4 linked regions of the Oryctolagus cuniculus genome follow. Each later gene encodes a partner of the first gene's protein in a complex. Links are inferred from orthologs where the notes say so. Each region holds a gene or a part of one and is shown on either strand. Other genes may lie near its edges.

The links. Proteins that work in one complex are often made in the same cells at the same time.
Region 2: VIRMA (region 1) and METTL14 share a complex: the UniProt entries of both Homo sapiens proteins name them as parts of the WMM complex. The link is inferred for Oryctolagus cuniculus from reciprocal best matches to the Homo sapiens genes VIRMA and METTL14.
Region 3: the proteins of VIRMA (region 1) and ZC3H13 are in contact, whole or in part, in a cryo-EM structure (PDB 7VF2), measured with the Homo sapiens proteins. The link is inferred for Oryctolagus cuniculus from reciprocal best matches to the Homo sapiens genes VIRMA and ZC3H13. Residues at the interface, in NP_056311.2 of Homo sapiens: Leu521, Ser529, Tyr531, Gln532, Leu535, Glu536, Ile538, Leu539, Leu540, Asp541, Val544, Val547, Thr548, Ser551, Leu554, Gln555, His558, Glu561, Val562, Ser564, Glu565, Lys567, Gly570, Asp571, Ala574, Glu575, Thr577, Ser578, Glu621, Glu625; in NP_001317494.1 of Homo sapiens: Pro1492, Leu1493, Asp1494, Val1495, Ile1496, Asp1497, Val1498, Asp1499, Trp1500, Ser1501, Gly1502, His1507, Leu1518, Lys1520, Phe1521, Pro1523, Val1526, Met1527, Arg1529, Val1530, Gly1531, Ile1532, Ser1533, Lys1535, Leu1536, Ala1537, Gly1538, Leu1541, Lys1544, Val1545.
Region 4: VIRMA (region 1) and CBLL1 share a complex: the UniProt entries of both Homo sapiens proteins name them as parts of the WMM complex. The link is inferred for Oryctolagus cuniculus from reciprocal best matches to the Homo sapiens genes VIRMA and CBLL1.

The regions. Positions count from the first base shown.
Region 1 is NC_091437.1:119,894,492-119,900,494, reverse strand, and holds part of VIRMA (protein virilizer homolog), read left to right. Parts: intron 1-1,233; coding exon 1,234-1,386; intron 1,387-1,844; coding exon 1,845-2,005; intron 2,006-3,502; coding exon 3,503-3,599; intron 3,600-4,793; coding exon 4,794-4,960; intron 4,961-5,389; coding exon 5,390-5,721; intron 5,722-6,003. UniProt on the Homo sapiens protein: Associated component of the WMM complex, a complex that mediates N6-methyladenosine (m6A) methylation of RNAs, a modification that plays a role in the efficiency of mRNA splicing and RNA processing.
Region 2 is NC_091439.1:46,487,362-46,493,364, reverse strand, and holds part of METTL14 (N6-adenosine-methyltransferase non-catalytic subunit), read left to right. Parts: intron 1-602; coding exon 603-719; intron 720-1,963; coding exon 1,964-2,174; intron 2,175-5,906; coding exon 5,907-6,003. UniProt on the Homo sapiens protein: The METTL3-METTL14 heterodimer forms a N6-methyltransferase complex that methylates adenosine residues at the N(6) position of some mRNAs and regulates the circadian clock, differentiation of embryonic stem cells and cortical neurogenesis.
Region 3 is NC_091440.1:65,026,517-65,032,519, reverse strand, and holds part of ZC3H13 (zinc finger CCCH domain-containing protein 13), read left to right. Parts: intron 1-816; coding exon 817-980; intron 981-6,003. UniProt on the Homo sapiens protein: Associated component of the WMM complex, a complex that mediates N6-methyladenosine (m6A) methylation of RNAs, a modification that plays a role in the efficiency of mRNA splicing and RNA processing.
Region 4 is NC_091434.1:136,460,128-136,466,130, reverse strand, and holds part of CBLL1 (E3 ubiquitin-protein ligase Hakai), read left to right. Parts: intron 1-899; coding exon 900-1,067; intron 1,068-4,994; coding exon 4,995-5,095; intron 5,096-5,524; coding exon 5,525-5,608; intron 5,609-6,003. UniProt on the Homo sapiens protein: E3 ubiquitin-protein ligase that mediates ubiquitination of several tyrosine-phosphorylated Src substrates, including CDH1, CTTN and DOK1. Targets CDH1 for endocytosis and degradation.

The sequences.
Region 1 (6,003 bases):
GAACTGGCACCCATATGGGAGCAAGTATGATTCTTGTACAGCACAGTTAGAGCAGGCTTTTGTTAAGAGTAATTTTCAGGGCCATGCTGTGGCTCAGTGGGTTAATGCCCTGGCCTGAAGTGCTGGCATCCCATATGGGCGCTGATTCGAGACCTGGCTGCTCCACTTCTGATCCAGCTCTCTGCTGTGGCCTGGGAAAGCAGTAGAAGATGGCCCAAGTCCTTGGGCCCCTGCACCCATGTGGGAGACCAGGAAGAAGCTCCTGGCTCCTGGCTTCAGATTGGCTCAGCACCAGCAGTTGCAGCCAGTTGGGGAGTGAACAGCAGATAGAAGACCTCTCTCTGTCTGCCTCTCCTTTTCTTTCTGTGTAACTCCGCCTTTCAAATAAATAAATAAATCTTAAAGAAAATGAAGAAGTTATTTTTTTAAAAAAGTAATTTTTATTCAGCCTTCATTGACATTTGATGAGTTATAGGACAAATGATGTGAGCTCCAAACAAAATTTGTGCCCATTTAAAAATATTAAATCCTGCATGTTGATTGGTGGTATACGTTTATGTTCTGAGTTTTGAAAAACCATACTGCTTATGAGCCATTTTAAAGCAGGGCTATATGCTGAGGATTTGAAACTACTGGTAGGTGGATAAATGGCTTTCTATTGTTAAGTGTTCTTTCATACGTGGCAATATGGGTGATTCGTTTTCATTAACTAAGATTTGTTTTGGGGGATAGATTTTGTAGTATTGAACTGTTTAGCACTCCAAAAATTCTTTTGTTATGTAGCTTACATTTTTAAAGCAGGAAATAGTCACTTTTTTGTGTGACGGTCTTGAATATAATAATTACTGTTTTCTTTACTTCATTCCTAGAAAGATAGTTTTGTATTATGTCAGTTCTTAGTAGTAGCAGGCATTTTATTGCCTTAAGTATCAAGCAGTGTGTTACCAGTGCCAGTGTATTTGCCATTGGATATTTTTGTTGGAAATTTTCGTGCCAGTAAATTGCATATGTGTGTTTGCCTATCTAATTTGTGAGTCTTTAAAACTTATTTCAGCTTTGAGCTGACTAAATCCTTCTTGCAATAATTAAATTTAAAACTAGCCATTTGTGCTGGTGTAGAACCAAAATGTTGAGGTGAAGTTTGCAGCAAGTGGCTTAAATAACTGAAAAAGTTAGGAAACATCTTTGCAAATTTCTCTGCTCTCAAATTTAACTTGTGTGTGACATTTACAGGGATGTTGTGGAGACGATAGTGGTCTCATGGAAGTAGATGGAGCTCATCCATCACGGACGATGAGTATTAATGCTGCAGAGTTAAAACAGCTTCTACAAAGCAAAGAAGAAAGTCCAGAAAATTTGTTCCTTGAACTAGAGAAGCTTGTTTTGGTAAAAAAGAAAAACAAAAATAAAAACAGAGCATTCCTGAGACGTATTTTTTTCCTCTCAGTTTGACTAGTACAACTTTTCATAGTGACCTTTTCAAATAGTGAACTGTTAGTTGAGTATCTATGCCGTTTTGAACTAATTCTTTGAATTAATAATTTGGAGTGAAGCCCTCTGTATTGTTGTGAATCTTAAGGAGTAAATGAAGGCATTACTTTCTGAATTGTCTATCTTTGGATGCAGGGTACCCCCTACTGCCATTGTTTAGAAATAAAATGATAAGTGCTTTTGGTTTTGTTTTATTTATTATATTTAATGTTAAGTCGATAATTTCTTAATGGTGCTCCAAATCTCTTTGAAGTGAAATAATACTGCCTTTTCTGATAAAGAGTGAGTAGATTAAGAGCTCAAGTGTTCATGGTTCACCTGCACCTTCTTATCCTGCTTTCTTTTGTGTCTAGGAACATTCAAAAGAGGATGACAATCTGGATTCTTTGTTGGACAATGTAGTGGGACTTAAGCAGATGCTGCAGTCATCAGGTGACCCTTTACCTCTCAGTGACCAGGATGTGGAACCAGTACTTTCAGCTCCAGAATCTCTACAGAATCTATTTAACAATAGGTAAGATAAGCAAGGTTTTGTGATTGAATAGATACTGTTTATATAATGGTTGAATTTTATAGAGGGTCAGCAAGCTTTCTGTCTTGCAAGTTGAAATCAGTGTGGTTCACTGCATTTCAGGCTGAAGAGACTGATACAGATCTAGATTTGGTATAAATTATTTTATTACAAAATATTTACCAAAAAGTTGTTAATATTTTTTGCTTGTGTGTTGTTAGCAGCATCATAGTAGTTTACATATTATATGTGACTGTTGAATTCCACTTGGGGACCGGTAGTACTGCATTATTCTTATGTCAGCTGCCCACTTAATAGCATCCAGAACTATCAGTCTTTTTTTTTTTTTTTATGGTTTTTTTTTTTTTTTTTTTTTTTTTTTTGACAGGCAGAGTGGACAGTGAGAGAGAGAGAGACAGAGAGAAAGGTCTTCCTTTGCCGTTGGTTCACCCTCCAATGGCCGCCGCGGCTGGCGCGCTGCGGCCAGCGCACCGTGCTGATCCGATGGCAGGAGCCAGGTACTTATCCTGGTCTCCCATGGGGTGCAGGGCCCAAGGACTTGGGCCATCCTCCACTGCACTCCCGGGCCACAGCAGAGAGCTGGCCTGGAAGAGGGGCAACTGGGACAGAATCCGGTGCCCCGACTGGGACTAGAACCCGGTGTGCCAGCGCCGCAAGGCGGAGGATTAGCCTAGTGAGCCGCGGCACCGGCCCAGAACTATCAGTTTTTATACAAATTCTAGGCTTTATAGGCCATGCAGTCCTTTGCTGCATATTCTTCTGTAGATTCTTTCTTTTCTTTTCTTTTTTTTTTTTTAAGAAAAATCCTAAAAGCATACAAACTCTGCATAGTTTATAGGCAGACAGGATAGGCAATGGTTTATTAATCCCTGGCCTAAAGAATATACTTCTTAATCTGTGGAGCTCTATACTCATAAGGATCATTTGATGTAATAGAATTACTCTCTAAATTTAGAAAAATTAAGTATGAGCAGATTCTGCACAATTGGTATAATGCAATAAGCTTGCCTTTTTGGAATTAAAATTAGTGTTGCTGAAGGTCAAAGTTTGTTATAGTAAGACTAGTTTCTCAGTTATTGGTTTTGGAAGGTACTTAGTTCTTGAATAGTTCCATATATATATTTATTTATTTATATTTATATTTTATTTGAATGGCTTTTTTTTAACTTTTATTTAATAAATATAAATTTCCAAAGTACAGTTTATGAATTACAATGGCTTCCCCCCCCCATAAGTTCTTTTTTTTTATTTAATAAATGTGAATTTACAAAGTGCAACTTTTGTATTGTTGTGGCTCCCCCCCAGCCTCCCTCCCTCCCGCTTGAATGGCTTTTTGAAGAAGTCTTTTCAAGTGGTAATTTTGGTAAAACTTCTGCGGATAATATTTTTAATTGTACCATCCATAGATTTTCCTTAGAAGGTAAGCCAAAGTGTTTGATTTTGGTATTTTGCTTTTTACAAATGCTTTTTGTGTTCTAGGACTGCATATGTGCTAGCTGATGTCATGGATGATCAGTTGAAATCAATGTGGTTCACTCCATTTCAGGCTGAAGAGATTGATACAGATCTAGACTTGGTATAAATTATTTTATTACTAAATAGTTAAAAAAGTTGTTAATATTTTTGTTTGTATATTGTTAGCATTATAATTGTTTATGTACTATATGTAAGTATTTGAAGTCCACTTGGGGACCAGTAGTACTACATTATTTTTAGGCCAGTTTCCCACTTAATAGCATCCAAAACTAACACTTTTTTATACTTGTTATACTTCTGTTTAGTTAGTGATTTTGTATGTGTTTATTTTATTTTATATTTAAAGATTTATTTATTTTTATTAAAGGTAGAGTTACAGAGAGAAAAAGATCTTCCATCCACTGGTTGACCCCCCAGTTGTCTACAATTGCTGGGGCTGGTTCAGGCTGAAGCCAGGAGCCTGACGCTCCATCTGAGTCTTCCCACATTGATAGTAGGGGCCCTAACACTTGGGGTATTCTTCACTGCCCTTCCCAAGTACCTTAACAGGGAGCTGGGTTAGAAATGGAACAACCAAGGCAATTCGAGTCCTGGCTGTTCCACTTCTGATCAGGCTCTCTGCTATGGCCTAGGAAAGCAGTGGAACAAAGCCTAAGTGCTTGGGCTTCTGCACCCGTGTGGGAGACCCAGAGGGAGCTCCTGGCTCCTGGCTTCAGATCGGCGCAGCTCCGGTCGCTGTGGCCATTTGGAAAGTGAGCCAGTGAGTGGAAAACCTCTCTCTGTCTCTCTATGTCTGTAACTCTGCCTCTCAGATAAATAAATCTTAAAAAAAAATTAAAAAAAGTTAGTGTTCATCATGTACAATAAAACTGATAGAATGATTTGTTTCACATTTAAGGTGCATTTATTTTAATTTTTTTTTAAGATTTATTTATTTATTGGAAAGGCAGAGTTACAGAGAAGGAAAGGCAGATGCAGATGGCTGCAATGGCCAGGGCTGGTCCAAACCAAAGCCAGGAGCCAGGGGTCCATCCAGGTCTCCCATATGGGTGCAAGGGCCAAGTGCTGGGCCATCTTCCACTGCTTTCCCAGGTGCATTAGCAGGGAACTAGATTCGAAGTGGAGCAATCAGGACTCGAACTGGCACCCATGTGGGATGTCAGCATCACAGATCACAGATGGCGGCGTTACCCACTAAGCTTCAGTGCCAGCCCCAAGAATATGAATTTCCATGATCAGATGTTACACTGGTAGTTAATTTAAGATGTCTTTTGTTTCATTTTTATGACTACAGGTAAAGGTTGACTTAATCGAGCTCTCTGAAAAATGCTGTAGTGACTTTGATTTGCACTCAGAATTAGAGCGCTCATTTTTGTCAGAACCGTCATCTCCAGGGAGAACCAAGACTACTAAAGGATTCAAACTTGGGAAGCACAAGCATGAGACCTTTATAACTTCAAGGTAAAAATTTATTCCACTGAAGGTCTTGATTATGATCACATAAAGCTTTATTTCATTGTATTTAAGATGGAATCATTTGCATAACATTTGAATCATTAATATTGTTTGTATTAGTTTTAAAGATAATAATTTGGCCAGGACTTAGCCAGTACATTAGTAATATTGTTCTTTGTGAGCACTTAAAAGGTATGAATAAGAAGTAAACTGGATTATTGTAAAACTTTTAGTGATATCAATAAAATATGAGTACCATTCTTAGCTAGTGTGTTGTATTATGCTGGGAAGTATGCTGGGAAGTAATATATATACTTGCAAAATTAATGGAATTAGAATAAGAAAAAATTGAAATCCAGATTCACTATTTATTGTATTTTCACTGGAAATATGAAGAAACGGAAATTTTCTAATGGAGTATTTTTGTTTTAATAGTGGAAAATCTGAATACATAGAACCTGCCAAACGAGCTCATGTTGTGCCACCACCAAGAGGAAGGGGCAGGGGAGGATTTGGACAGGGTATACGACCCCATGATATTTTTCGTCAGAGGAAACAGAACACAAGCAGACCACCATCTATGCACGTGGATGACTTTGTCGCAGCTGAAAGTAAAGAAGTGGTCCCTCAAGATGGAATACCCCCACCCAAACGGCCACTTAAAGTTTCCCAGAAGATTTCTTCTCGTGGTGGGTTTTCAGGCAATCGAGGAGGACGTGGTGCTTTTCACAGTCAGAATCGATTTTTCACACCACCTGCTTCAAAAGGTAACTGCATTTCTAATAGGCTAGCATATTAAAATATTGAGTGAAGTGACTGAGGAGATTGAGATAAAGTATTTGCACTATTTGCAGAGTACTCTGGTGGGTAGGAAAAAAAAAACCACACATACTTTTTGGGTTAACTTCTGATAAGGTATACTTTTACTGGGAATTTAAAAGATGTCACAGGTAATTATTTTCCTTTTAACATTGAGAATTTTATTATTTTTTATGTAAATACCATTTTCACATTTGTACTTCTCAACAATTTCCTTAAGATTATTTGTG
Region 2 (6,003 bases), on another chromosome or scaffold:
GTTTTTGCACCAAAATAAACTGATCATTTAATTCTAATTTTCCACAGACATTTTCAAGTACTCACATGAATATATTCTATATTATGGCTGTATACATATTTATTTTTTAAAGATTATTTATTTAATTTTTTTTATTTGGAAGGCAGAGTGACAGGGGGAGATAAGAGAAAGGGATCTTCTGTTCTCTGGTTCACTACCCAAATGCCTGGAAAACCAGGTCTGGGTCAGTCTGAAGCCAAAAAAACCAAGAACCCTATCTGGGACTACCAAGTAGGGTGTCAGGAATACAAACATTTAGGTCATAATTTGCCAGCTACCAGATGTGTTAGCAGGATGCTGAATCCGAAGCAGAGTTGGGACTCAAACCTGTGTACTCCAACAAGGGATAAAATTGTACAAAGTGGTAGCTTAACCTGCTGCACACCAGTGTCTGCTTCAGGCTATTTGGAGACTAGCATTTCTTATAGTTCTCCACTAGAACAAAACAAAAACCATTTTGACACTTGGGAATTTAGTGTCTCAAGAAAATTGTTTAATGCTGGTTGGTTATTTGAAGTATGGATTAAATGAAGCATTTCTTTTCGTTTATTTTTTATTTTTAGTGTTTACGCAAGTGGGGTTACAGAAGATGTGAAGATATTTGTTGGATTAAAACCAATAAAAACAATCCTGGCAAGACAAAGACTTTAGACCCAAAGGCTGTTTTTCAGAGAACAAAGGTATTGCCTTTTCTGTTTTGTTTTGTTTTTCTCATTATTTTCTTTCATACTTTTCCAAATTTCTGTATACTGTTCAGTTACTTTTGCTGGAAAAAAAGTCATTTTCTTCGGCTTGTAAAAGTAGCCTTGAGCAGTATAAGAATATATCCAAGTTGGTTTAAAATGTTTTATTCACTATCTTAGATCAGTCTCCACCACCATGCTGGAGAGGGAAATATATATGTTCCTGTATGTCTTACACTGCTGTATTTATGCATTACATGCGGGCTTTTAATGCTCCTCATACCCTGAATTTTTTTTTGTTTTGCTAGGTTCAGAAAGAAGAGATATCAGCAAAAGTTCATAGCTGGCCAGTTTACACTTGTTTCTTCTTCTGTTCTTTTTCCTACTGAAGAACTTCTGAGAACTTCTGCTTCATGTTGATTCTGCTTTGCTAGTATCAGTCTTTAACCGCCTTTGCTCTTTACTCTTTAGGGAGCCAGTGGTGGGATTTCTTACTTGTTCTTACTTGGGGTTGGAATTATAGCTATGTAACAAAGTTTCCAAAAGAACAGGGTTTGGAGAGCTTCTGGGTTGGTGAACCTATAGAGTTGCTGGGGGAACATGGTGCACCCAGAGAGAGGGCCTGGAAGCTCCACATCCCTTCTCCTGTACATTGCCCTAAGCATCTCTTCCATCTGGCTGTTCCTGAGTTACATCCTTATACAATAAACAGGTAATAGTAATTAAAGCACTTACTGAATTTCACAAGCCACTCCAGCAAGTGATTGAACCCGAGGAGGGGGTCTTTAGACACTCCAATCTGTAGCCTCTCAGTTATAAAAGCACACTGACAAGTCGTGATTGGTATCTGAAGTTGGGGGTCAGTCTTGTGGGACTAAGTCCTTAACCTGTGAGGTACACACTAGGTATAGATTGTGTCAGAATTGAACTGAATTATAGTGTCTGAGGAGAAGTGTAGTTACTTGGTGCGTGAAAACCCACACATCTGGTGTCAAAGAGCTGTCTTCTGAAAGTACTAAATGTAGAGTGAAAAACTGCTTTTCCTGTTTGCCTGACAGTCTTTCTACAACCATCCAGATGTTTCTAAAGTCTGTCCTCTTTTTGCCCACAGAACTATATCCCAAAGATTTGTAGAAATAAGGATTGTTTTGGAACTGAGGAAATCAGAAGTATAAATAAAATGTTATGAGGTAAGATTATTGATAAGAAAAAAAATTAATTGGTCTGTTCTTCTTATTTAGGAACACTGTCTTATGGGGATCAAAGGAACTGTGAAGCGTAGCACAGATGGGGACTTTATTCACGCTAATGTTGACATTGACTTAATTATCACAGAAGAACCTGAAATTGGCAATATAGAAAAACCTGTAGAAATTTTTCATATAATTGAGCATTTCTGTCTTGGTAGAAGACGCCTTCATCTGTTTGGAAGAGATAGTACAATTCGACCAGGTATGACCTCAATTTCAACAACAAAAACAACTTTGATTCTTTGAGATATGGTTATAAAGGAATCAGACACAGGGTGGTATAAAGTAAAATTCTTATGTATTTGAGTCATCTTCTTGCTGGACTTCAAATGTGAATAATGTTTGGTTCATACAAAAATTGAGAGGAAGTTCCTGAGATTTCCCATAAACTCTGTGCCCTAGACTCTCATCATCTCTGTTACCATTGCCACCCCCACCACAGTGATACGTTTGTTACAACTGGTAAGTCTACATTGACGAGTCATCACCCTGGTCTGTAGTTTACATTAAGGTTCACTCTTGGTAGTCTGTGTTCTGGGGGATTAGACAAATGTGTGAGGACATGCATCCCCCATTGTTGGATCACACAGTATGGTTTCACTGCCCTAAAAATCCTGTGTGCTCCACTTATCCATTTGCCCACCCCTCAAATCCCTGGCAGTCTTTTTATTGTGATTCTGTCTTTTGTTCTTGTTCCTGTGTTGTTAAAATTGTCTATATAGTATGTGACCTTTTCAGATCAGCTTCTTTCATTTAGTAATAGGCATTTAAGGTTCTCCCCTGCCTTTCCATGGCTTGAGAGCTCACTTTTGAATCGTATCCTACTGTCTAGTTGTACCCACTTTATCCGTTTACTTACTGAAGGACACCTCGGTTGCTCTGAGGTTTTAGCAAGTAAGAATAAAACTGCCATAAATGCCCGTGTACAGGTTTTGGTGTGGATGTAAGTTTTCAGCTCCTTTAGGTAAAAACCAAAGAGAATGATGGCTGGATTATATGGTAAGAATATGTTTAATTTTGAAAGAAACTGCCAAATCCTATCTCCTAAAGTAGTTGCACCATTTTGTTCCACATTCTCACCAGCATTTGGTGTCAGTGAGGCAAATACACCCTGAAGCCTGGCTGTTTTAAGCTTGCTCAGTGCTTGGTAATACCTTTAGAACACAAGGTTACAGTGAAGAATTTTGGGGAGAAAGAAATCCCTTGGGCTTATATAACGAGTTTACTTTGCAAAGATTCACAAAGAGGTAGTGTGGCAGGAGAGAGGCAGTATTAGTTCTTTTTAAGTTTTCTGTTCTCTTGTTTGTGGTATTGCAGCACTACCATAGATATCCTGAAACAAAAAACTAAAAGGAAGCAAATAAAACTCTAACAGGGTTGAGCATTTGGCCTAGTGGTAAAGCTGCCAGTTGTGACGCCTACATCCCTTATAGGTGCCTTTGAGTTCCTGCTCTGCTCCTAATTCTAGCTTCCTGCTAATGTGCGCCCTGGGAGGAGGCAGATGATGGCTCAAGCAGGTGGAAGACCTGGATTGAGTTCCTGACTTCCAATTTAGCAACAGGCTTGGGAGGACATTTGGGAAGGAAACCAGCAAATGACAGCTCTCTATCTAGCATGTGCTCTTTCTGCCTCTCAAGTAAAGCGTGTAGATAAACTTTCTAAAATATCTCATAGTTTCTGTAGTCAGTGAGACAATATAGGTGAGGAATGTGCTTCTCGATCTAATGTGTCTTCTCTACTTCTCTGGTGTCTCCTGGGTGCCACATAAAAGGCACAGTGTGATTTTCCTGATATTCTTGCAGATATTATAAATCTTATTAAGTCATTCTTAGGTACTAAGTTATTTTTTAAACAATGGAAAAATATTTTACAAAAGTGGCTATAATATTTTAGAATATTTATAATATTCTATATCTGTAATTTTTAATAAAATATATTATAAAATTTTATGTATTTATAAAATATTTAAAAGATATTTTATAAAATATAATATTTTAGAATACGAGCTTAGAAAAATATTTTTCATTTTAGAGCATTTTATGGGAGGTCTTATTTTAAGAAATAATATTGGGGCCGGCGCTGTAGCGTAGTGGGTAAAGCCACCACCTGCAGTGCCGGCATCCCATATGAGCGCCAGTTCAAGTCCCAGCTGCTTCACTTCTGATCCAGCTCTCTGCTATGGCCTGGGAAAGCAGTAGAAGATGGCCCAAGTCTTTGGGCCCCTGTACCCATGTGGGAGACTGGGAAGAAGCTCCTGGCTTCTGTTCTGGCTCCTGGCTTCGGATTGGCACAGCTCTGGCTGTTTCAGACATCTGGGGAGTGAACCAGCGGATGGGAAGCCTGCCTCTCTCTCTCTCTTTCTCTTATCTCTCTCTCTCTCTCTATAACCTTGCCTTTCAAATAAATAATTTAAAAAAATCAAGATAATGGTACAGAGATATGAACCTAATTTTACAGATAAATAACATGATTCCTAAAAGATTATTTGTTCTGTCCCAGTGGATCTCATGTCTCTTATAACACTCATAAAGCATATTTCCAGGATTTTCCTAAAGGTCATGCTAGTTACAAGAATCACCACTCCAAAGGAACTCCCAGAGTATAGGCATTGGTAGTTATTTCTCAGCCCTTCTCCTTCCAGATATAATGTAATCAATTAGCAATGTAGCTTACAAATAAAAAAACCTTTTTACCTACAATGTCTAATGGAAATTCTGAAGAAAGAGATGTAATTTTATGTAAGCAATATATTTGAATTGGATGTTGCATGGTGAGGTTTTCGGCTGATTGACAAAATAATGTGAGCACAAAAGTGGTTTGTATGGAAGTAGTCATCGTAGTAGTTTATTGTTTGCTTAAAAAAAAGATGTTAGTTAAAAAATAGTTGATGAAAAGCATTGATGACAAAAGTGATTGGAAAGTTCATTATAAAAGATTTTTTGGCTTTATGAAAAGGATTAGAATATTTTTGAACAGAGAAGTGACACGTTTTAAGCTTTCATTTTTCAGTTTTAGAGAGGAGAAACCATAAGCTGAGAGATGATTACATATATGTGTATGTCTGTTCCATGTGTGTGGCATGGTGGAGAGCTGTCGTTGTAGAAACAAAGGCTTAAAGAAGAGTATGGGAGGAAAAATGGAAAAGTGGGAGTAAGTAGGAACAATATGGTGGTGATTGAATTTCTAGGACCTGTCAACTCAGAACATTTTGTGGTTGGAAAGAACAGAAGTTGGTTCAGGATTTTAATCAGATAACAATGGTACTATTTTTATGAATAGGAAAGTTGTAATTAATTTTTTTTAAAGATTTATTTATTTATTTGAAAGAGATACAGAGAGGCAGAGGTAGAAGCAGGATCATTTCCTAAATGGCTGTTACAGCCGGCGTTGGGCCAATCAGGAGCCAGGAGCCAGGAGCTTCTTCCAGGTCTCCCATGCAAGTGCAGAGGCCCAAGGATTTGGGCCATCTGCTGCTGCTTTCCCAGGCCATAGCAGAGAGCGGGAGCGGAAGTAGAGCTGCCGGAACTCAAACCAATGCTCATATGAGATGCTGGCATGGCGGGTGGCAGCTGTACCCACTATGCCACAGCACCATCCCCTAATTTATTACATTTTTCACTGAGCCCAAACTTAGTGTAATGTGTAACATTTTTTTCTAAGGGCTATTCACAGAATGTAGAGACATAGATGGAGACAATGAGGAAGATATATTGTAAAAATTACAGTCTACAGGGAGAATCAAGATTATAAATAGGAAGTTTTCAAAATATGACCCATGATAAAGTGCTGTTCATTCTTTAAGAGATCACTATTGGGTTGGTGATAGGAACATCTTTAAAAGAATGCATTGGGGATTTGAACTAGCCCCTAAAGAATCAATAAGAGAAGAGAGGGTTGCAAATAAAAAGGATAATATTTTTCTCCTCCATTTCAGGCTGGCTCACAGTTGGACCAACACTTACAAATAGCAACTACAATGCAGAGACCTATGCCTCCTATTTCAGCGCTCCAAATTCCTACCTGACTGGATG
Region 3 (6,003 bases), on another chromosome or scaffold:
TTTTAAAACCAGAAGAAGAAAAAAAGATTCCGTAAAAAGAAAGTTAGTCCTAAAGTGCAATTTTCATGGAAGAGCTTATGTTCAAGGCAAATTTCTTCTGTAATTATATATGTAATAAAATAGTATTTGATGCTCTTTTTATTTTTTTGGATAGGTTTTTTTTTTTTAAGATTTTTTTTAATTTGGAAGGCAGTTATAGAGAGAGATGGAGAGAGGAGCAGGGGTAAATGAGTGGGATCTTCCATCTGCTGGCTCACTCCTCAAACGGCCACAATGGCTAAGGCTGGACCAGGTCAAAGCCAAGAGCCTGAAATTACATTCAAGTCTCCCACATGGGTAGTAGTGGCCCAAGCACTTGGGCCATCTTCTGCTGTTTTCCCAGGTGCATTAGCAGGGAGCTAGATTGGAAGTGGAGCAGGCAGGACTTGAAACTGGCACACCTATCTGATGCTGGCGATGTAAGCAGTGACTTGACCTGGTACGCCACGCTGCCCCTGACTTCAGTGATTCTCAACCTGAACTTTACTTCTTGGTCATAGTGCATAATCAATGCCTAAATCCTGTTTCCCAAGTCTACTTTTCTTATATCTTAAACAAATTTAAAATGACTATCACAATTCTTAATTTTGTTTAAGACTAATAATATAACTGAATGGTGAAGGTCCTTCACAGAGGAAATATTGCCTTTAATATGAAATAATTTTCACCATTGTTGCTAACTTTGATAAAGTGTAGACTTTATGCAGTATTCACTTGAATCATTGGTAACATCTTCTATTTTAGGAAAACTTAATGTGTGCTTATGTTTGTTGAAAGATGCAGATAATCTCTTTGAACATGAATTGGGGGCTCTCAACATGGCTGCATTGTTACGAAAAGAAGAAAGAGCAAGTCTCCTTAGTAATCTCGGACCGTGCTGTAAAGCTCTGTGCTTCAGGCGAGACTCTGCCATCCGCAAGCAGCTGGTTAAAAATGAGAAGGTACAGTGATTTCCTTGGAAAACATGTGAAGTGAATAATGTGAATGGCATATTTTCCATTTGATTGCTTTAAAGAATCACAGCCTTACCTGTTTTTATGAGTTTGGTTTACTAGTCTTATACACATGTGAAAAAAAGAGTTCTGTTAAAGTTTGTGATATTTTTATCTTATTTCAATCATATTAATGAATAATTGTTTTAGATAACAGTTACTTGTTAGAAAAAGTCATGCACTTAAAAATGTGTAAAATATTCTATTTCTATGAAATTAATTTGTGAAAAGCTTCTGTAGATAAGTAAACGTTATTAGAAATTTATTTAAGTTGAATATAAAAAGAAACATTTTCTGGAGTTGTGAGGGTAGTGGAGTGTTTTTTTTTTTTTTTTTTTTTTTTTTTTTTTTTTTTTTTTTTTTTTTTTGACAGGCAGAGTGGACATTGAGAGAGAGAGACAGAGAGAAAGGTCTTCCTTTGCCGTTGGTTCACCCTCCAATGGCTGCCGCGGCCGGCGCACCACGCTGATCCGATGGCAGGAGCCAGGTACTTATCCTGGTCTCCCATGGGGTGCAGGGCCCACGCACTTGGGCCATCCTCCACTGCACTCCTTGGCCACAGCAGAGAGCTGGCCTGGAAGAGGGGCAACTGGGACAGAATCCAGCGCCCCGACCAGGACTAGAACCCGGTGTGCCGGCGCCGCAGGCGGAGGATTAGCCTAGTGAGCCACGGCGCCAGGCGATAGTGGAGTTTTTTGAGGGATTTGTTTATTTATTTTTAAAGGCAGAGTTACAGAGAGGGAGATCGTCTATCTGCTGGTTTACTCCACAGATAGCCACAATAGCCAGCGCTGGGCCAGACTGAAGCCAGGAGTTGGGAGCTTCATCTAGGTCTCCTTCTGGCGTGGCAGGGGCCCAAACACTTAGGCTATCATCTGCTGCTTTTCCCAGGCATTTTAGCAGGGAACTGAATCGAAAGTAGAGCAACCAGGACATGAACTGGAGAATGAACCAGCAGGTGGAAGATCTCTTTCTCTCTGTCCTTCTCTCTGTGTCACTCTGCCTCTCAAAAAATAAATTAATCATTATAAAAAAAAAAAAAAAGAAAAAAGAAAACTGATCCTAAAAGGTTAGAAAAACATTAACCTACTAGCTTTTTACTAGAGGCCATTAAGAAAACAGAATTGTCTTTGGATATATAACAATGCTGAAGTAACTGATACTTCATTTATGAAAACTACTCAGATGCAGAGGATTAAATTTATACAAACAAGAAGAATTCATCTCCAAAGATTAAAATGGAAATGGCTATGAGGCATGGGAGACTTATAAAAATATCAAGTCTTAGGTTTATAACCACCAAATCTACCTTGCTCAAAATTACTGATGACAAAATTGCTAAGGTCATCCTCCTTTGCTTCTCTCATTTCATTTGTATTTCTCCTTATTCTGTTGCCTACATACTCATCTCTCCTTACATCCTTTCTCACCTAGACATTTCTCTGAGAGAACTAAGCTCCCAGTATCCTAAACATGTATATAATGAATCACCTTCTCTTTTATGTATCTAGAATCGTTCCAGATATCACCATCCTGACTATTAAATTGAAAAATATTCATTCAAATCATTTTCTGTTTGGTTCATATAAGGAATCTCAGTTGAAAAGGACTGTATAATTTCTAATCTCATAAAAATTCTAACCTCCTTTTTAACAGTAATAGATTATAAAATACCCTGATTCTTCCTCTATTGTACCATGGTGCCCCTTTAAAATTGTGGCAAACAAAAGCACCTTGAAAATTTCTCATTGAGCACCATTGTTCAGAACCTTATAATCCTCCAGTGTAAGTCATAGACCATTAACATTCAGTAAGTTTTAATAGCACATTGTAATGTCTTAAACAATCCATCTGAAGAAAGTACCATAAGCTTTCTGATTATTCTGTTAAAAACATCAGCACAAAAGAGGAAAAAGACACAATTAGGCTGGCGCTGTGGCTCACTTGGTTAATCCTCTGCCTGCGGTGCAGGCACCCCGGGTTCTAGTCCCGGTTGGGGCGCCGGGTACTAGTCCTGGTTGCTCCTCTTTCAGTCCAGCTCTTTGCTGTGGCCCGGGAGGGCAGTGGAGGATGGCCCAAGTGCTTGGGCCCTGCACCCACATGAGAGACCAGGAGAAAGCACCCAGCTCTTAGCTTCGGATAGGTATAGCACTGGCCGTAGCGGCCTTTAGGGGAATGAACCAACAGAAGGAAGACCTTTCTCTCTGTCTGTCTCTCACTGTCTATAACTCTGTCAAAAATAAATAAATAAATAAATAAATAAATAAATAAATAAAGAGAGGACACACACACACTACATAGGAAATCCTCTGAGAAATGCTCTTAGAGGCTACGCATTAAAAAAAAGGATACAATTAAAGAAGAGTAATTTCAGATGCTAGACAGCCTCATGAAATATCCTAGGAAAACCAAATAGAAGCATTTAAGTTATATATGGTTATAAAAGAAAAGTCCAAAAAGGGGTCATGCATTGGGCTAACTGGTAGATTTTTTTTTAAGAGGTTTTTATTTTATTATTTATTTGAGAGGTAGTTACAGACAGTGAGAGAGAGACAAAGAGAAAGGTCTTCCATCCACTGGTTCACTGCTGGAGCTTGACCGATTGGATGCCAGGAGCCAGGAGCTTCCTCCAGGTCTCCCACGCAGGTGCTGGGGCCTAAGCACTTGGGCCCTCCTCTACTGGTTTCCCAGGCCATAGCCGAGAGCTGGATTGGAAGAGGAGCAGCCAGGGCTCAAATCTGTGCCAGATGGGATGCTGGTGCATAGATGGAGGATTAATCTGCACCACAGCACCAGCCCCCTAGACTCTTAGCAAGTGACAAAAAATGGAAAATCATTCAACCTACCCATTGAGATTGTGTCTGTTTAGGAGAATGATTTTTAAATATAGAAACTATAGTCCATATCACAAGAAATAGGTGAAGGATATTAAGAGAACACTTAAAAGCTTTAAATGTGCAAACTAAAAGAAGGCAATTATAAAGAGCAGAAATCAATGAAATTAAAAATAGGGAAACATTAGAGAAAAGTAGTGTCACCAACTGCTGGTTCCTTGAAGAGATAAATAAAATTGAGAACTCCCTAATCAGACTAACCAAAAAAAAAAAAAAAAAAAAACCACAAATTGTGGGAATATCATTACAGATCTCACAAGTAATAAAAAAGAAAATAAGGGGATATGAATAACTTAATAAACATGAATTTGGCTGGCAAGTTAGAAGAAATAGATAAATTCTTCTAAAACCACAGACTACCAAAACTTAATGAGTAAGTAATGAGCAACCTGAAGAGTCATCTCTATTTTTTAAATATAAAACTGTAGTCCCAGGTGATTGCACTGCCAAGATCTACCAAAAAAACATTTAAAGAAAAAATAACACCAATTCTCTGCTATTTCTTCCAGAAAATTAAAGTGGCAGAATCATTTCCCAACTTATTTTATGAGGCCAGAATTGCAAACACCTGACTAGATTTAAACTGGTATCTCTCATGAAACTAGGCATAAAAATGCTCAAAAATGTTAATAAATCAAGTTCAGTGATACATTTTTAGCCTAGGATTAAAGGAATGCCTCAGTATGCTAGAATTATAATCAACCATATTAACAGAAGTAAGAAAGACAAATATATTGATCATATCAATTGATGGAAAAAGCATTTGAGAAAATTCAACGTTCCTTTGTAATAACTCTTAGCAAGCTAGAATTAGAAGAGGTCTTTACAAAGGACATGTACATAAGACCCTCAGCTAACATCTTAGGTAATAATGAAAGTTTGAATGTTTTGTCCCTGAAGTTGGGAACAAGAAAGGATGTCCAGTCTCACTGCCCCTATTCAGCCTCATACTGGAACTTCTAGCCAGTTTGATTAGGCAAGAGAAAGGAATTGCATATATATAGATTGGAATGGAAGAAATAAAACTGTGTGTCTTCTCAGGTGACATGATTGCCTGCATAAAAGGTTTTAAGGAATTTGCCAAAAAATTCCTAGATCTAGTAAGAGTTTAGCAAAGTTACAAAATACAAGGTCAGCCTATAAAAAAAGTAGTTGTATGTTTGTATACCAGCGGTGAGCATCTGGATACTAAAATGTTAGGAAGCAATACTCCAGCTTCCCCACAAATGAAGTACTTAGGTATTAAAGAAACAAGAAAAAGAATCTTGCAAGATCTAGTTGTTGGATACTCAAAACAGTGATGAAAAAAACCAAGGACCTAAATAACTGAAGATTGAGACATCATATTCATGGAGTTGGAGACTCAATATAGTTAAAATTATGCTTCTCCCTCACATAAATCTGCAGAGTTAACACAATTTTTAGTAAAAAACTAAAGAGGATTTTTTTTCTATAGACAAGCTGAATCTAAAATTTGTGTGAGGTCTAAAGGAACTAGCAAAGCCAAAATAATTTTTACAAAAGAAGAATAAAGTTGGAAGATTTGTACTACTCAGTATCAAGACTTACTGCAAAACTATAGTATGTAAGATAGTACAGTGTTAGTAAAGGAGTAGAAATTCAGATGAGTGGAACAGAAAAGGGTCCAGAAGTAGACCCACACAGATACGATCTGTCAACTCAAGGGGTTGGTGTGGGGAGCTATACAAATTGTTTCTTTTAATTAAGTTTTCATTTTGAGATAATTGTTCTTTGTCAAAATTTAAAACATATTCTCTAAAGTATACTGGTAAGGGAATGAAAATACAGGCATAGTAGAAATATTTGAAATTCACATTTTTTTTTAAATTTACTGATTCATTTGTAAGGCAGAGTGACAGAGAGGGAGAGGCAGAGAGCAAGACAGATATGGTTTTTCTACTGGTTCACTCCCCAAACGCCCGTTGCATCCAGGACTGGGCCAAGCCAAAGCCAGGAGACAGGGAACTCCATTCAGGTCTCCCACATGGGTGCAGAAACTCAAATACTTGGGCTTTCTGCGCTGTCTTCCAGGCACATTACCAGGAAGCTGAATCAGG
Region 4 (6,003 bases), on another chromosome or scaffold:
GTATCTGATGGGCAGTGTTAAACTGTTATCTGTCTACAGCAACTTTTTTTTTTCTTTCCTGTATTGTATCTTTTTATGTACCTGAAAAAAGGCAACACTTAATGCTTACCATGGAGTTGGTTCCGTGACTGATGCTCCTATTGGTCAAGGAACATGGGAATTTATTTCATGGGTAAAACGCAAGCAGAGACTTCAGGAAGTGACAAGTCATTTAATAAAAAACTGTCACTTGTTTAGACCTAGTTGAAGTCCAGAAAGCTTGCTCCCTCCTAAAATTATAATTTCCCATTCAATACTAAGAGTAACTCAGTCCCATATATATCCCTAGAAATGTTACAGCACAAATACATTTTAACATGTTTGTGTTACTCAGTGCTATAAGAATTTTTGCTGTGTTCTTGAATGCTTTCTACACTTCAGGAAATAATCACCTTCCTTGAAACTAGCTTCCATTTTTAGATTCATTACTTACTTTTGCTTTTGTCGCTGTTAGTTTTGTGTTTCCCTTTTAGTTTTCTAAAGTTCTTGAGTGCTTGCTTTGCATGCTTGAGATCAGTCAGAGAAGCAAGGTGGTTTTGATACTTTTCTCCTCTCAAATCTTTTTACTTCAAGACAGAGGTTCTTTCCTTGGGTTTATGGAGGGTTTGTGTTTCTGTGAACTCCTCTAGAATGAAAATTTTATTGTTCAGGTTATGTAACTTTTATTTTCAGGGGCTCCCTATATCAAAAAGGGTTAAAAAAAAAGCATAGCTTTATCCAAAATAGAGAAAATTAGTGGTTAATACAATGTGTAAAATCAGAACCCAGGTCTCTAAGCCTTGATAGTGTTTGGTACGTTGTATTGTGGCAGAAGAGTCTAAAAAGCTAAAGGAAATTATGACTTTTTTTTCCCTTAACAGACAATGAGTTACAAGGCACTAATAGTTCTGGATCGCTGGGTGGTCTTGATGTTCGAAGACGAATTCCTATAAAGCTCATTTCCAAACAAGCCAACAAAGCTAAACCTGCACCTCGAACTCAAAGGACTATAAACAGGATGCCTGCAAAGGCTGCACCTGGTGAGGAAGGTAATTTGTTTAAACTGCTAGGTCTAACAGCCCTTCTGGTTTATCTGATTGCACTAAAGGAGTCCCTGTGATTTTGTTGACTTAGTATAGCCACTTCTTTTTTTTTTTTTTTAATTTTTTTTTTAATTTTTTTGACAGGCAGAATGGACAGTGAGAGAGAGAGAGACAGAGAGAAAGGTCTTCCTTTGCCGTTGGTTCACCCTCCAATGGCCGCCGCGGCCGGCGGCCGGCGCACCGTGCTGATCCAATGGCAGGAGCCAGGAGCCAGGTGCTTTTCCTGGTCTCCCATGGGGTGCAGGGCCCAAGCACCTGGGCCATCCTCCACTGCACTCCCTGGCCACAGCAGAGGGCTGGCCTGGAAGAGGGGCGACCGGGACAGAATCCGGCGCCCCTACCGGGACTAGAACCCGGTGTGCCGGCGCCGCAAGGCGGAGGATTAGCCTAGTGAGCCGCAGCGCCGGCCGCCACTTCTTTTTTTAAACTTTACCTTCTGTACTCTTTCTTCAGCCTTTTTGTTGACTTCTGTTTTGGCATGTTTTGCTTTTTTCTCCCTGTATAAATACTTTTGATTTGTTTTCTTTTGTTGTTGGCAGTAACATTGTCCCCCCCCCCCCCAATCTAAACAGTATTGCAGAAAACATGACACTAAAAGTAAATGTCTTTCTCTTCTCACAATCCATTTCTTCAAAGATAATCCCTATTAAGACTTTTTTAGCTTCTAGCATTGCAAGTCCCCACTGCTCCACTTCCAATCCATCTCCCTGATGAGGCATCTGAGAAAACAGCGGAAGATGGCCCAGGTACTTGGGCTCCTGGTACCCATGTGGGAGACCAGGGTGGAGTTCTAGGCTCCCTAATGTGGCCATTTGGGAAGTGAATCAATGGGTGGAATCTCTATAACTTTGCCTTTCAAATAGATAAATAATTTAAAAAAGACTATTTATACAGAAATATTAATTTTTGTGTAAAAATGCCTTTTTAAAAAAAACATTTATTTTGTATAACTGTCTTTAAAATGTTTTGTATATAACTGCTTCTTAAAACCGTATGCATTTGAGATTTTGTGTTAGCATATACAGAGATAACTTCATTTGCAGGAATAGGTTTAGGTACTTCATTATGGCTAAACTACAATTTATTTAAAAATTTTTCTGGAGTTCTAAGAACGTTGGAGCAAATATCTTTGTGTAGAATTTGCACTTTGTACAAATTTGGACATTTATTTATTTATTTGAAAGGCAGAGTGTGGGAGTGAGAGGTAAATGTATTCTATCTGCTTATTCACTCCCCAGAAGTGTGCAGTAGCTAGGGCTGGGTCAGGCCAGAAGCTGGGACCTCCATCTGGGGTCTCCCAAGTGGTAGCAGAGACCCAAGTACTTGGGGCATCATCTGCCATTTTCCCAGATGCATTAACAGGAAGATATATCAGAAGCAGAGGAGCCAGAGACACAAACCTGTGTGGGTGACACAAGCAGCAGTTTAACCCCCTCCTGCATCACAGTGGCCACACCATAGACTTTTAAAAACTTTGTAATTATTCTTCAAAAAAGGTATATTTGTTTATACTTCTCCACACCAGTTTTGGGTACTATTAACCTTTAAACATTTTGATTTTGATTTACAATTCTCTAATCATGGTTGAGGTTGAGTATCTTTTCATAATATTGGTCTTTTGCTTAGGATCTTTCTGTTCATATCCTTTCCCCATTTTTCTGTTTGGCTGTTTCTCTTGATTTTTGAGTTCTTTTTAAATTAATGAAATTGACCCTTTTTAATATATTGTGTATATTCCCCATTTGCCTTTTGAATTTTGTCTATAAATTTTTTATTGTAGAGAGGTTAAACATTCTATGCAGTCAGATATCCAGTGTTTGTTGTTATGACTTCCTGGATTTATGACAGTTTTAGAAAGGCCTTCCCCTATTCTGTGCATATAAACTGGTTTTCCTCTCATCTGTCAGTACAAACTATGACCTGTGGGGCAAATCTGGTCCTGTTTTTATAAAGTTTTATTGCAAAACAGCCATGCCCATTCATTTCAGTATTGTCTGTGGCTGCTCTCATACAGTAGTGGTAGAGCTGAGTGTTTGTGGTTATGGACCATGTGGCTCACAGAGCTGAGAGGATTTATTGCCTGGCTTTTTACAGAAGAATTTGCTGACCTCTGCTTTGGATCTTTTAAGAATACGTATGTGGTTATTTAAAAAAGCCAAAAGTGGGATCTGGCTTTCTGTTTTTTCCTCCAAAACAGCTTGTCATTGTCCCAATCATTGAATAATCTTTTCCTTGCTGCATAGAAAACCCACCATTATTGTATATTAAAGTTCTAAAAGTATTAAAGTCTGTTTTCTGGTCTTTCAAAGTATTTTCATGAACTTATAGTGATGTACAAGTACATTCTTGTAATGCAGGAAAAGCTAAAAATTCTCCCTGCTACCTCTTTTCTCTAAGTTGTTTTCCTCCTCTTCTCAGGGTCATGGCTTTTTTTTAGAGGGAACTACTCTTACTCCTTTCTCTCTTAATAGAGCAACTTGAGGCTGAAGACAATCATTGAATACTTTAGACTTAACCTGTTTGGAGTAAAAGAAAATTATTTTTTTCCCTAGGGATTGATCAAAATATGGAGTTTTGGGTGTTAGTACATCTCTATGGATATTTAGTTTAATGAGAAGAATACAGGTTGAACTACTCTGAAAAATTATAATGTGCTCTTCATTTATTTGGCTGTTGATCTCCATAATTTTCTGCATTTGAAGAATTGACAATTTTTCTTACTTTGAATTGTGGATGACACCACCTTTGATAAGGAATGGGCCATATAAGACTGTAGGTACACTCAGGTGTAATTTATAAGATCAACTTTACTTTGAACTGTACATCTATATTGGAAGTAGTTAAATAGCAGTATATTGGAATATCTCTTATCAACTTCAAAAAATTCTTGCATCACTATTGTCTGTGTGTGTGTGTCTATCTACCTGCACAGGTACTGTAAGTTAGCCATGTGGGTAAAGTTGAAGCTGTGTGCTTTGGCTACTCTGTTTACCAGTTCTAGGGCCAAAAGAGTCGTGACAAGCCTGGCACCTTGGAGAGATATATTTGTCTTCTCAGCTTTACTTTAGGTAATTGGATTCTACCTAGAATTCTCATCAGACTGTTCACCGGTTTTCTGTTCTTTTGTGTAAAATGAGAAAATTGCCACCAACTTTTTAATGAGACCAGAGAAATTGAGCCAACTTGATCTTCAACTGGTCTTAAGTTTATTAATGTTGATATATGCAGTGTAGGACAGGATACTTGTAAATATCATATGGCTCCTGCTGATTGGGGATTAACCAGGAAGAAGTTTTAAAATGAAAGGGTGAAGAATGAATTTGTTGATGTTCCAAAATCATGCTCAGATTAGAGGTGAAGGGAAAGTATAATTTACTAAGTAATAAGAAAATCCGCAGAATTCTTTGTTTTCATTATTTTTACAATAAAATCAGTCTCTTGCAGCATACCATATTTGTAGATAGATTAGAATAAGTGATGGTCAATGTCATTAAAATTTTGTGCAACAAATGATGATAATGGTAATCTTGAGGTTTTAGACTAAAGATAGTCTGTTGAATTGATAGAAGCACTTGAATAGGTGTCAAGAGATCTGAGATCTGTTCCTGGTCCTGCTGCTGACCTTAATATGTTACATTATTGTGGATCTCCATACTGTAATAGTCTCAATTATGAAGTATTAGAGTTGGTCAGGTAATCACCAGTTTTACTTCTAGTTGATATTTTAAACTAGTCTTCATTATTTTGTTCTTAGAGGAGCTTTGAAAGTCATCAGGTGGGCTTTCCAGTGAATAGGCCTACTTTGTCCTGTGTGTATACTTCTCAAATGAAATTTGAGGTTTGAAGTTAATGAGTAACATTTTGTTTTCTCAGAAGGATTTGATTATAATGAAGAGGAACGGTATGACTGTAAAGGGGGTGAACTGTTTGGAAATCAGCGAAGGTTTCCTGGACACCTTTTTTGGGACTTTCAGGTACGATTAAAAACGAAAACTTTCATTAGACCAATAAAATTGGTATTAAGTACTTAAAATGTGGTATTAGAACAGTGTAGAATATATAAGGGGTATCTTTTACAAGCTTTTGTTAATGTTATGACTTTTAACACAAACATCATTTGTTTATAATGAGTGCCCTACTTTGACTATTCCCAAAAATAATTTGAAATCATTTTCAGTGAGGTCAAATGTGATTGATAACTCTTAACTATTTAAAAATGTAAACTAACGGTGGCACAGCTAATGCTGGTGAATATGTGGGGATTATACCAAGAAACCTTTATTTCTAGTTGTTTTTAACAACTTTTATAAAGTACCAACCATTTACTATTGATAGAGTGTTTAGCATTGTGTTATAGATGCAGTTTTTAGGATTAAGGGAATTTAATTATGTCATTTCAACAGATAAACATCTTAGGTGAAAAGGATGATACACCAGTTCACTTCTGTGACAAGTGTGGATTACCTATTAAAATCTATGGACGAATGGTAAGCATAATTAAATTAAATACTGTTTGTAAATGCGTGCATTTGTGTCCAGGTAGAATTCTGAAATGTATTAAGTAGATACAGTTAATCATTATCTAATGACTGAGTTTGTGACATTTTAATTTAAATAAATATGAACTAGCTAAGAGAAGTACTTGGTATGCGTGACACCAGTTTATATTTATTATACTTTTTTAAGGAAAGATTTTTTTTAAGATTTTATTTATTAATTTGAAAGAGAGGGAGAGACAGAAAAATCCTCATCTGCTGGTTCACTCCCCCAGTGACCAAAACAGCTGGAGCTGGAACAATCTGAAGCCAGGAGCCAGGAGCATCTTCTGGTTCTCCCACGTGGGTGCAGGGGCCCAAGCACTTCGGCCTTCTGCTGCTGCTTT